Macaca fascicularis: one gene and its partners. The protein of the gene in region 1 interacts with the protein of each later gene in a pairwise test. Links are inferred from orthologs where the notes say so. Each region holds a gene or a part of one and is shown in the gene's direction. Other genes may lie near its edges.

Region 1 (4,376 bases):
GAGGCAAGCACACTCGGTGTAACTTTTATTGAAAAACATCCATGTACAAGTGGACCTGCTCAGTTCAAACCCATGTTAAGGGTCAATTGTATAGTAATCTGTATGTATGTAACCTGGTGATGACCAGTCATTTCTCTTTTTCTTTCTCTCTCTTTCTTTTAAAGAGACAGGGTCTTGCTCTGTCGCTTAGGCTGGCATGAAAAGCACAATCACAGCTCATGGCAGCTTCAAACTCCTGGGCTCAAATGAGCCTCCCACATCAGCCTCCTGAGCAGCTGGGACTACAGGCATAAGCCACTGCACCTGGCTTATTTTTTGTTTTTGTGGAGATGGGGGTCTTACTGTATTGTTCCGGCTGGTCTCAAACTCCGGGACTCAAGAAGTCCTCCAGTTTTGGCCTTCCGAAGTGCTGGGGTTACAGGCATGAGCCATGGTGGCAAGCCCTCATCAGTTATTTTTCTATGATTCTGTCTCGCTGTCCCCTCCTTACAAGGAAAGTAATTTTGAAACAACCAATCCAGTCTTGGTTCTTTGTTTCTGCTTTCTTCAGCCCTTCTCTGTCTATAAAATCAACCTCTTCTGCTCAGCTCATGGGAGCACTTATTCTAATTTAATGGAGGTGTTGCCCAATTCTAGAATCACAAATAAAATTAAGATCTTTAACAACAAAAGTTAAAAAATGAGAATCAGCAACAACAACAACAGAAAAGATCTTTAAATGTGTTGTAATTTTCTCCTTTGACAGGTTACAAGTGCAATTGAATAAACCAAACAAAAAATGTCATGGTTAGGTTCGGTCTTTACTTCCCAAATGAGGGTCAAGATGTAAGACTGCAAGAACCAACTTCTACCATAAAAAAGATCCGAATCCAAGAAAATGTGATTTTTCTTTAAAGCTGTTCACCGCAACGAAAGTTTCTTTTTAGTCTAGGAGACTAAAAGCCATCAGCTGACACAATCTCTTTTTTTCTTGAAGTTTCCAAAGGAAGGCAGGTGAGTTTGCACTAACTTCCATTTTCTCCCTGGCTTCCTTCTGGTGTCAGATGAGCGTCCCCGCGCTCCTCCCGGACAGCCCTCATGGTCCCCGGCTATCATATATGGGGGGGTTGGGGGATGGGGGTGGGGTGGGGGTGGGCGAGATGGCTTTGTACAGGAAAGAGGGGCGGCAGGCACGGGGAGCACGGGCTCCAGCCCCAGGAACACTCAGTCGGCGCAAAGGAGAGGGAGAGAGCGAGTGCGAAAGCCGAAACCCTCCCGGGGCCACGGAGTAAGCCCCCAGTACCGCTCCTCCGGCGCCCCACCCGCAGGCGGACCCCGAAGACGCGCCCGCGCCCGCCCCCGGCGACTCCGGCCCGGGCACGCGCACGAGACGGCGGGGGGAGGGGCGGGAGAAGGTGGGGGAGGGGCGAGCGGGGAGAGGCCCCGCCCCGGCCCCTCAGCCCCGCCCGCCGCGATTATAGCCGATGACTCAGGGCGGAGCTCCGCGTCCAACCCCGGGCCGCGGCCAACTTCTCTGGACTGGACCAGAAGTTTCTAGCCGGCCAGTTGCTACCTCCCTTTATCGCCTCCTTCCCCTCTGGCACCGAGGAGGCTATTTCCAGACACTTCCACCCCTCTCTGGCCACGTCACCCCCGCCTTTAATTCATAAAGGTGCCCGGCGCCGGCTTCCCGGACACGTCGGCGGCAGAGAGGGGCCCACGGCGGCGGCCCGGCCAGAGACTCGGCGCCCGGAGCCCGCGCCCCACACCCGCGCCCCGGCGGGCAGACCCCGACCCAGCATGAGCGCCGCCACCCACTCGCCCATGATGCAGGTGGCGTCCGGCAACGGTGACCGCGACCCCCTGCCCCCCGGCTGGGAGATCAAGATCGACCCGCAGACCGGCTGGCCCTTTTTCGTGGACCACAACAGCCGTACCACGACGTGGAACGACCCGCGCGTGCCCTCTGAGGGCCCCAAGGTGAGCTGGGCCCGCGGCCCGCCCTGGTCGGCGGCGCCACCTCGACGGCAGGCGGCGGGGAGTGGGTTGGGCCGGGGGGACGCCAGGCGGCGGGGCCCGGTGGCCGGCGAAGGCCCCTTGCGGGCGGACACCGGCTCCGCGCCCCGCCACACACTCCCGGTGCTCCCGGACGAGTCCCCGCTCCGGACCCGCCCTTTACAGGAGTCGGGGCGAGAGGAGGCCCCGCGATCCGGTGGTCCGGGAAGCGACCCCGCAGTGGGTCCGGTGCCGTCCACGGCTCGACTCGGGGCGGAGGGCCGCGTGTCCGACGCTGGCCTCACGCTCCCGGGCTCGGAGGGGGCGGCCGGCCTGGTCAGCTCCGGAGGCTCCGGCCCGCCGCGGCCACTGCTGCCGGCTCGGCCTCCGGTCCCGGGACCCGCGGCGCACCCCGCTGACCGCGGACTCGAGGGGGACCCTCGCAAGCTTGGATGGTGGTTTTTGGGAGGAATTTTACCGCTCAAGTTCTCCAACTTGGTTGAGGGGTATCTTGTTTGCTGTCCCATCTTAGGCACCCAATGACTCAGGAGGCTGGTGTCAAAACATTCATATATATGTGCGCGCGCGTGTGTGTGTATTTTAAATTAAAATTGTATTATTGTTTGAAAGTGCTTTCAATACGAATGTATCCTAGTATGACTTGTAAAATATAAAAGAGGGTGCACTTCTCCCCAGCAGTTTCTAAACTAGAGATCTGAGACTTACAGTTGGCCATTGCCTTACCACATTGCCTCACACTGGAAAGAGAATGATACGTGTATATTTATAATGGCATTCGCTTCCTGCCTTGTTATGGTATTAAAATACTTAGAATTTGTTACCAGTACACAAATAACTGAGTAATGATACTCTTGGGAATACAGCAGAAGTATGTCTCATTTACATATATGCAACGATATTCCTAATCCCCAAGAGCATGAAATTTGAAAACGTAAATTTGGAATGAGTCTGTTAATTTTCAAAAATCATAGTTATACTATTCGTTCAATTTTATATAAATTTGAGCTTTCAAAATAAAAAGTTTTTTTAAAAAAAATGTTATACTTAAAGCGTAATTGTTACTGCCGTCTGGGCAAGATAAAAGCAGCAAAGAGCTGGTAAATTATTTTGAAGATTTTAAAACTCACCAAATTAAAAATACTTTGTAACCCATTATTTTAGAAGAAAGACCTGTATTATTTCCCTTCATTTTAATGCACTTTTTGTTTTAACAATATTGATAAAACTCCGGTGCCCAACAGTGAGACACTGTACAGGCAGCAGTTTACATTTACGAGAGATTACTTGTGTATTTATTCTTGAAAATTAATACAAGAGGCTGTAATTAGCTGGGGTGGGCACAGTTGCATATACCTTTTTGTGTGTGTGTTCAGCCCATTTTTGGGTGAAACTGACACTCATTTCAAACCACCTTTCTTAGGCGTCTGCGTGGATGTACCTGATCTTTAGTGTGGTTTGCAACTATTATTTTGAGGCCTTCTTCCTGTGGACATAGGGACAGTGGTATCTGCTGGCAGCCTTTGTTGTGAGTGAAGATCAAGTTTGAACATAGACATTCCCAGCACTTTGTTCTCAGCATGAAACTTACCCAGCAAGTTGAGATATTCCTGTACCCACCTGGTGCATGGGTTAGGCTGTGGTTTCATAAACCTTATTAAAAGAAAAAAAGCAGGTTTAGCTGCCATTATTCTTCTCAATAAATAAAAAGTAAGAACTATTACATCAGAAGTCTGATGCTGGAAAGGTTTCTTTGAAAATTTCATAGTCAAAATTTTTAAGTTGAAAGGTCCTTGAAGATCTCTTAGTTAGAAGATCTCTTATTTTCTGAAAAACCCAGAGAATTCAGGTGTGACTTTGAAGGTCATCCAGCTAGTACCAATTACAGGGAGAGAACTAATGTCAGGAAAGTTCTAGTAAGAGGTGGTGTGTCTGTTAGAAGTTGGAAGTGAATGTTTTGTGAAACTGAAGCATGCAGGCTAGAATACCTGATTATCTTTGTGCCCTCCTGGCCACCAAGTTATTGGGTCACTGACCTCTGTGCTGTGGTTGCTTGGATTTTGATGATGGGACGTCATCAACTCAAGAAAAGAGTTCTCTTTACGAAGTGAATGACTTGAGACTTGTCAGCATGGCACCAAAACTTAAGGAGAAAACTAACATTCAGCCCATTAGCTGTTTGTGCTTCATTGCTTTCAACCCTGTTCTTAGACGCACACAATATCTGGTTGCACTTGTGTGAATTACACCTTGCTGGAGACTAAATGTAGTGGAGAATCCTAGAATATCATTTTGTATTTGGAATGGGCTTCTCAATGCATCATGAGAAAAGGGCCCTTGCATAAAACAAAGGGTGGCTTTGGAGGAGCTGAGCTGAGGCCCGT
Region 2 (4,225 bases), on another chromosome or scaffold:
TCCAGCCTAGGCGACAGAATGAGACCCTGTCTGACTACCAAAAAAAAAAAGACAAGCTGGCCACGGGCAGGTAGGGGAAGGCACTGCCGCCCGAGAGACCTGAAGCTGTAGAGCAACAGGGACTCCCGTGTGCCTGGAGCAGGCGGGGCACAGGAGGTGGGTCGTGTGGTTTGCAATGAGGCCCAAGGGGTGTCCCCGCCAGAGCAGGGCCTGCGGAAGGCTGGGGTTTGTCATCAGGGCTTTAGAACATCATTGGCGAGTTTGAAGCACTTTCAAAGTAGCACTCAGGCCAAGGCCAAGGCCAGACTGCCTGTACCTCCTGCCAAGTTGCTCCTCGGAGAGGACCCAGATTTGTGCCCCAAACCAATCGATTGGTCATGCCAGTTGGGAGTACTTTTCCCATCCATAGGGGCTGAGGCTAGGAGGGGAAGTTGGGGAAGCCAGGACTCCCAAACACAGAGGTCTGGATCCCCCCAAGGCCACGGGTCTGGTTCCTATCTGGACTCTCATGACCTCCATTCTGCCGGGGTCCTGTGTGTCCGCCTCACACTCAGTGAGAAGGAGCAAGACCTGACCCAGGTAGAAGTGCACTCAGCGCCTGTGGGTGCTGGAATGAGTTCAGGAAGACACCGGAACTCCTTCTCTTCCCTCCCCAACACCTGGCGACTGATGGTAAATCTCCCACCATAGAGGCCAGGCCTGTGACACTTGGAGATGTTTGCAAAGCCATGATTCATTGAGCACTTGCCATGCGCCGGGCTGTTGGGGAAAAAGCGCCTAGCACATGGCCATGGTGATCCGTACCGCACCCCATGAGCTGTGCGCCCCTGGAGCTCCATGCAGGAGACTTGAGTCAACCCAGAATCAAGATTCGATCCCAGCTGCCTCGGCCTCTGAAGCCCTGGGCCCTCAAGCACTGAGCTCAGGAGTGTCTCTTTAATTCTTCCCACCCCGGCTGCAACCGGTTCACAAGCTCCTTCCCCAAAAGCAGGTGTGCAGCCAAGAAGAGGAAGGAAGGGGCCGGCGGCTTCAAGTGTAGCCGCTGACTGCTCACAGCTGTTTCCCACCCCTCACCCACCCTTCTTGGCAGCCCAGAGGGACCGACTGACCGAGGACAGGTCCTCAGCAGGGCCCCCTTGCCTCTGGGCAGGACTGACTCAGAAAACTCATGCTTCAGACCTGCCCTGGGATCAGGTCTCCAGCTGGGACCTGTCTGCTGTTCTTCCTCCTGCCCCTTGTCTCCTTACTCTCCTCTTCCGAGAACCCTCACTTCCAGAAAACCACATGCACCCACATCTCCATCACAGGCTCTGCTTCTAGGGAACCTCAACTAGGATGAGGTCATGTCTGACTTCCCGGCTGAGTGCCTTCCCCAAAGTCCTCAGTGTCCTGCAGACAGAGCCTCCTTCCCTGTGCTCAGCCTTCTGAGCCTTCCTCATCTGATGCCTGTGAAGCTCCCTTTGCTGCTGAGGTCCTGGGTGCCAGCTCAGCACTTGGTAAGAGGGGGTGAGGCCGGGTGCTGTGGCTCATGCCTGTAATCCCAGCACTCTGGGAGGGTGAGGCGGGAGGATTACTTGAGGCCAGGAGTTCAAGGCCAGTCTGGGCAAGATAGTGAGATGCCATTCTCTAAAAAAACTAAAATAGGCTGGGAGCAGTGACCCACGCCTGTAATTCCAGCACTTTGGGAGGCAAAGGTGGGCAGATCACTTGAGGTCAGGAGTTCGAGACCAGCCTGGCCAGCATGGCGAAACCCCATCTCTACTAAAATACAAAAATTAGCTGGGCATGGTGGTGTGCGCCTGAAATCCCAGCTACTAGGGATGCTGAGGCAGGAGAATCACTTGAACCCGGGAGGTGGAGGTTGCAGTGAGCCGAGAACACGCCACAGTACTCCAGCCTGGATGACAGAGCAAGACTCAGTCTCAAAAAATAAAAAGTAAAAAAAAAAAATAATAGCTAGCCGTGGTGGCACATACCTGTAATCTCAGCTACTTGGAGGCTGAGGCATGAAGATCCCTTGACTCTAGGAGTTTGAGGCTGCAACGAGCTATGATCGTGCCACTGCACTCCAGCCTGGGCAACAGAGCAAGAGCTTGGCTAAAAGAAAAAAAAAATTATAAAAATACAAAGGGTCAAGACCAACTTTGTCTTTTCCCTTTGATTGGATACTTTCAGTAAAAGCAAGATCTCCGGATGTCTCCTTGTGCGCTGAGAGCATCTACTGTGTGTTGATCTGGGTTGGGCGTTCTGCAAAGTGTTTACTTGGAACTCTAGAAAGAGTTCTCAGGACTCTTAGCTAGAAGTGAAAGGAGAGAAGACACGTGAACATGGAAAATCTGGGGCGGCCCCAGGTATAGCGAGTTATCTGGGGCCCCACCAACCTCAGGGCTGGTTGGGGCTGGGATGAGTCATGGCTGTTGGGCAGGATTACCTGCTTGAGAAACGAACCAGGTCTTATTTGGGTATTGATTCATTACAACAGAATGGGAAGTATTTTTCCCTTCCTGTGAATCTTTCAAGGAGCAACTGTGTCTTTGTGTTCTGCAGGACTGTGCTTGTTTTGGGCCAATGGAGAATCACAGGCTTTTTTTTTTTTTTTTTTGACAGAGTCTCAGTTTGTCGCCCAGGCTGGAGTACACTGATGCAATCTCACTGCAACCTCCGCCTCCTGGGTTCAAATGATTTCCTGCCTCAGTCTCCCGAGTAGCTGGGACTACAGGCGTGTGCTACCACGCCCAGCTAATTTTTGAATTTTTATTTATTTTTTGAGATGGAGTTTTGCTCTGTTACCCAGGCTGGAGCACAGTGGCACGTTCTCGGCTCACTGCAACCTCTGCCTCCCGGGTTCAAGTCATTCTCCTGCGTCAGCCTCCAGAGTAGCTGGGGCTACAGGCGTGCACCACCATACCTGGCTAATTTTTGTATTTTTAGTAGAGATGGCATTTTGCCATGTTGGCCAGGCTGGTCTCGAACTGCTGACCTCAGGTGATCTGCCCACCTCTGCCTCCCGAAATGCTGGGATTATAGGCATGAGCCACCGCACCCAGGCCTTGTGTTTTTTTAAGTCTAGTACATTAGTCAGGATGAATAGCAGAATGCTGCAAAAACCAGAATCCCACTGGAATTGGCTTATGCCATTGCAGAATGTATTGTGTCACTGGGAAGTGGGGAGGGCAAGAGCTTCAGGCCTGGCTGGATCCAGAAGCTCGGACCATGCTGTCAGGGACCTGTCTCCATCTCCAAGCCCTGCTGTTCTCCGTCTTGGATTCATTCTCCAGTGGGCTTGCTCTACCTGCTGGTAAAGATGGTGCCGGACAGCTCCAGGCTTTCATCTCACCAGCCTTGTAAACAATTCGTCTTATTCAAGGAGCTTCAGCAAGGGTCTTGGGGTTGATTGTCATTGGCTCAGCTTGGATCACATGCCCATCACTGGAGCAATCAATGAGGCTCAGGAGATGCTGGGTAGCTACTGGCCAGCCTTGGTCATGTGCATGACACAGCCCCTGGGGCTAGGAAGGAGCGACGCGTGTGCAGCAAAGGTAAGAGAGGCCGTCTACACCCGGGTTCCTAGGGGGGTGGGATCAGGTTGGAAGAAGCTTGTTTAGCCAGGCTTGGTGGTGTGTGCCTGTAGCCTCAGCCACTTGGGAAGCTGAGGTGGGAGGATCACCTGAGCCCGGGAGGTAGAGGCTACAGTGAGCCAAGATTGTGCCACTGTGTTCCAGCTTGGGTGACAGAGCAAACCCTGACTCAAAAACAAAAAAGAAGCTTGGTAGGGGGTGTCTGGGAAGGTAGGTATCTGAGAGGCAAGGGCTTCCCCCCTGTAGCAAGGGGCGCTCGCTCAGATCCCATCCGGCTTAAAGAAGCGAAGTTTCCATGGAAGAGTAAAGATACTGAAATGTAAGACGCATGAAAAAATCAAAGTGGAGAGGCCCTTTGTAGTTGACCTAGAACCATGTTATACGTGATGCATTAGGTCAGTGTTCAGGGTAACACTTTTCTGCATTAAAATAGGAAATAGAAACATTTTGGATTTTAAAAATAATTTGTCAGCTGTGCGTGGTGGCTCCCGCCTGTAATCCCAACACTGGGAGGCTGAGGCGGGCGGATCTCTTGAGGTCAGGAGTGTGAGACCAGCCTGGTCAACATGGTAAAATCCATCCCTAATAAAAATGCCAAATAAAAAAAAAATCGCCCGATGTGGTGGCAAGTGCCTGTAATCCCAGCT
Region 3 (4,160 bases), on another chromosome or scaffold:
TTATGCTCTGAATCCCAGTGTGATGTGACGAAAGCACTGCTATTTTTTACCAAACATTCACAATAAAAAGAGAAATGTACCTATATTTAAGATGTATCATGAGAATTACTACGTTAAATGGTCCAAGGCTCTTTCGGCCGAAAATTAAAGCTTCACAGTTAACCCCTATTTATATACCAAATCATGCTTTTTAAAAACAATTTTATGCGCTTCACTAATTTCTAACAAAGATTTTCCGATTCTGTTGCAAACAATATGTCAGCTAAACCACTATGTCCTATGCCTTTTATAAGATGGTACTTTTTTAGGCCGAACTCTATTCTTATTCCTCTGGACACAGGAGTTGTAATCATGTCTTACTCTGCAAATCTAGCCGTAGGTGGTGTCTTAAAAAGGACTTTTTCTTCCTTCGAGGAAGTGGTCAAGCTTCCCCCCAGCCCCCACCCGTGTCATCCTGGAAACAACTTGGTTGTTTTTCGGTGCTATCTAATTAAGCGATGTAGGAGAAAGAAGTTGAGGAGACAAAAAAGCCTATTGATTACATTGTACTTGCTTCTCTACCTCGCTCTTCAAAGGACTAAGGTTCCTTTGACCTCGACTGAGTTCATTTCCACCCTGCCTACAAAGTACTGGTTTAAAAAATATATATATATATCCAAGCCAAGTATGCTCTTGTCTATGAACAATACTTCTTGTCCAGTTTTATTACGTTTTCTTTGAAAATTCGTTAGATTATGCTCAACAATCGGCCGCTTGCCCAACCGGTTTCTCCCTTCCCCCATCTCTCTTCACACATCACTTTTTCCTCCTCCCATCCAGGCAGTTGGTAAAACGCTGCAGTGCCAGTAACGCACGCTTTGGGGTGGTCACTGCAGTTTATCCTTACTTGGCTTTGCAAACTCCCCACCCAGGCCTTGTCCCCTCGCGCCCCACTCTGCCATTATCTTTCCAGTAGAGTGTGCTCGGTAAGGGGCTCCAGATAGCACGTCGAGGGTATACGGCAGCCTGCCTACCAATAGGAGCCCACAATGAAGAGAAGTCAGGTTCAGCCGGCCGGCAGCTCCAGTATCTCCTTCCCCTAACTCTACACCTACTGTACCCGGGAGCGAGCGAGCAAGGGAGGGAGCGAGCGCGGCGCGGCGCGGCGCGGGAGGGGGCGCGCAGGGAGGGCGGACAGCAGCCGCGGCCTGCGCTTGCGCATTGGGGTTGTTTTTCACAAAGCTGCTCTTAAAGTGAGCTGGCAGCCTTTAGCCGCCCGTCTTTGTAAGGAGACCACTGAGACGAGCGGGAGCGCGGAGCAGCAGCTTCTGCTGCCCTGACTTTTTAAGAAATCTCAATGAACTATTTGTAGAGAATCACTGATCCGGCCTGCAAGCATTTTGCACGGCAAAAATATCGATCAGTGTTAAGTGAAGATCACATTTTATATGCGATCTTGACTTTTTTGTCTTACATTATATTTTTATAGATTTTGTTATAAACATGGTGCTGGGAAAGGTGAAGAGTTTGACAATAAGCTTTGACTGTCTTAATGACAGCAATGTCCCTGTGTATTCTAGTGGGGATACTGTCTCAGGAAGGGTAAATTTAGAAGTTACTGGGGAAATCAGAGTAAAATCTCTTAAAATTCATGCAAGAGGGCATGCGAAAGTACGCTGGACTGAATCTAGAAACGCCGGCTCCAATACTGCCTATACACAGAATTACACTGAAGAAGTAGAATATTTCAACCATAAAGACATCTTAATTGGGCACGAAAGAGGTAAGTTTTTCTGTTATTCAGAAGTCATTGGACTCATTTTCTTTGGAAACGTACCTTTTCAGTTTTCTGAATTAACGTGATTCTACTCATAGTATAACTAAGCAGTTTGATAAAGGTTAGCAAAGTTGGAAGGTTTGGATTCTCCTTGACGTTCATCGTGTGTTAAGCCGTAATGCATGCAGGCATCTGCAAAGTGACTGCAAACTACACTTATTCAACTACCTCTATACCCGGCTTGGTCTGTGCCATACGCGCTTGTAGTCCATTTGCACCTTATAAATTCTGCTTGAATCCAATGCAATCGTTTTACTAATATATTTTCAAATGAATTGCTAAAAGCTGCAGTCTTAGATTTTTGCCCTTTTACTTGCAACCTAAGATGTAAAAACTAAACTTCAATCAAGAAATGTAATAACATTTTTAAGAGGCTTAATGGGCGTGTTTCATTTTTAATTTTGGAATGCAAAAGACTTTAAAGAATTGATCACTGTGCTTTCATAAAAGGTTTATGTGGCTTATTTTGACATATGGTATCAACACCCCACGTGTTTTTTCTCTATTCTTTCCCATTCCTTTAAAAATTTACACCCAGCATTCCTTATTTTAAAGGGTACTGTCTGTCATTATGATAGGTATCGAGTCAGTTTTAGAAGCCATTTAGGATCAGTAATTTTCTTTTCCGAGCATCATGTCTAACTTTGGAACGTGCATTCAATGAAACCCATGCCAGTCAAATGGAATTGAAAAGTATAGGGCACACTGGATTTGATTTTTGGTTAGAAGAGGGAGATAAAGGGTTGTCAAAGGGAGAAGGAGTCCTGAGATTTCCAATCTATTGTTTAAGTGGTTACATTGTGGAAATATAGGAGAGTCTAGGCTTGTTTTTCTAAGTTTCCACCCTTTGTTAGAAGCGGTTCAATCCTGTTTCGGACCAGTTCTGGGGGGTGGTGAGGAGGGGCGCTTGTTCTGCTCTCAGCAGATTGGTTACACGCGTCAGGTGGTGGCGATGACTTAATTCCTAGCCCAAGAAGAATATAATGTTAAAACTGGTTATGTAATTTTTGTGCCTCTCCTTTTTAATGCAGTATTTAGTTCAGATGTTGGCGATTTTTCAGAAAAAAATTAGAGCCATATTTTACCTTCTTTTTTATATTAAAAACGTACATCCTGGAGAGGTGCTGATGACTGAACTAAGGCAAGTGAGAAATGAAGGATGCTTTGAGGGGCAGTATTAATGCATGATTTCTGAAACTATTAAGGTGAACTCAGTTCTTTAGTAGGATTTTCGTAGATACAGGTACTTTGCATCCTGAAATAACTAATTAATGTCTCCAAGCGTTAACACTGATAGGAGATGCAGATGCCTAATGACAGTCTTGGTATTTGTTGAAAAGCAGATAGATGAGTTTGTGTTTCTACCTTTCTGAATATTGCAGCCTTTTATGAAATGGGTGAAAGAAACAGATTTTTCTTCAAGAGGTTGAGACTTGCAATGGGAGAAAAGTAGAACAATGAGTTGTGAGGACAAATATTTCATTAGTTACACCATGATTTCATGGTAAAGAAAACTAAATGCCCTGCACCCCCAACAAAATGCCCCCCCAAACCCTGCAACGCGTAGACGAGCTCAGTCTGGAATAGTTTCAATGACTTGAAACTGGGAGCTCTCAAACTAGCCTGGTAACTGAGACCCCGCCCCGGGCGCCCGGGATAGGCGGAGCCAGGTTTGTTAGCCTGTTGCTAAGGCGATGGCAGGCGCTGATTGGATTGGGCGCGGGCGGGTGGGGAGAGGGGGCTCGCGCCGCTGCTGGGGCGAGGCTAGGAAACCGGCGTGCGCCGGTAAAGGTCCCTCCAGAGCCACCCCCACCCAGTCCATACTCACGTTTGTTCCCGGGCTTCTGGGGGCGCCCGGCCCGTGTCACATCACGTTCTATCGCCCCTCTTTTGGGCCTGCTAAGGACCATCGAAAGGAAACGACTGCAGGCTTTAGCTGAGTTGAGGGCAGACGCTCCTGCCGGCCTTACAGGTGCCGGATGGCCCGGGACCCAACTTTAGTGGAAAATCCTTTTCAGATGGAATTTGGATGGGAAGGGTTGGCAGGACCCCCGTTAGCTATCTGCCGGGTAGGAGGTGTCAGGGGACTCCTGTGAACGCTTCTGAAACAAAGCGTGTTCCCCGACCTCTCCAGTCGCCACACTGGCTACCTTGAGTTGACCTGAGGGGACAGAGCAGAGGCTGGCCCGGGGAAGAAAGAAAATGATTCCAATATCGAAATCTAGGTGGGGGCTTCGAAGGGTATCCTCTGCCCCCTCCCCCATTGTTTTCCGAAAGCTTCAGGCCCCCGCCTCCCCTCGGCCGCCCCAGTTTCCCTCGCGGAAACTAAAGGTGTCAGAGTGGC

What was found.
Region 2: the proteins of BAG3 (region 1) and LITAF interact in binary tests that used the Homo sapiens proteins (3 or more experiments, as listed by UniProt). The two-hybrid records come from large-scale screens. The link is inferred for Macaca fascicularis from reciprocal best matches to the Homo sapiens genes BAG3 and LITAF.
Region 3: the proteins of BAG3 (region 1) and ARRDC3 interact in binary tests that used the Homo sapiens proteins (3 or more experiments, as listed by UniProt). The two-hybrid records come from large-scale screens. The link is inferred for Macaca fascicularis from reciprocal best matches to the Homo sapiens genes BAG3 and ARRDC3.

The regions. Positions count from the first base shown.
Region 1 is NC_088383.1:128,663,226-128,667,601, forward strand, and holds the start of BAG3 (BAG family molecular chaperone regulator 3), read left to right. Parts: upstream 1-1,483; 5' UTR 1,484-1,779; coding exon 1,780-1,959; intron 1,960-2,478; exon of another isoform or gene 2,479-4,376. UniProt on the Homo sapiens protein: Co-chaperone and adapter protein that connects different classes of molecular chaperones including heat shock proteins 70 (HSP70s), e.g. HSPA1A/HSP70 or HSPA8/HSC70, and small heat shock proteins (sHSPs), e.g. HSPB8.
Region 2 is NC_088394.1:12,312,274-12,316,498, reverse strand, and holds the start of LITAF (lipopolysaccharide-induced tumor necrosis factor-alpha factor), read left to right. Parts: upstream 1-1,383; 5' UTR 1,384-1,496; intron 1,497-3,278; 5' UTR 3,279-3,539; intron 3,540-4,225.
Region 3 is NC_088380.1:95,376,006-95,380,165, reverse strand, and holds the start of ARRDC3 (arrestin domain-containing protein 3), read left to right. Parts: upstream 1-1,257; 5' UTR 1,258-1,482; coding exon 1,483-1,762; intron 1,763-4,160. UniProt on the Homo sapiens protein: Adapter protein that plays a role in regulating cell-surface expression of adrenergic receptors and probably also other G protein-coupled receptors.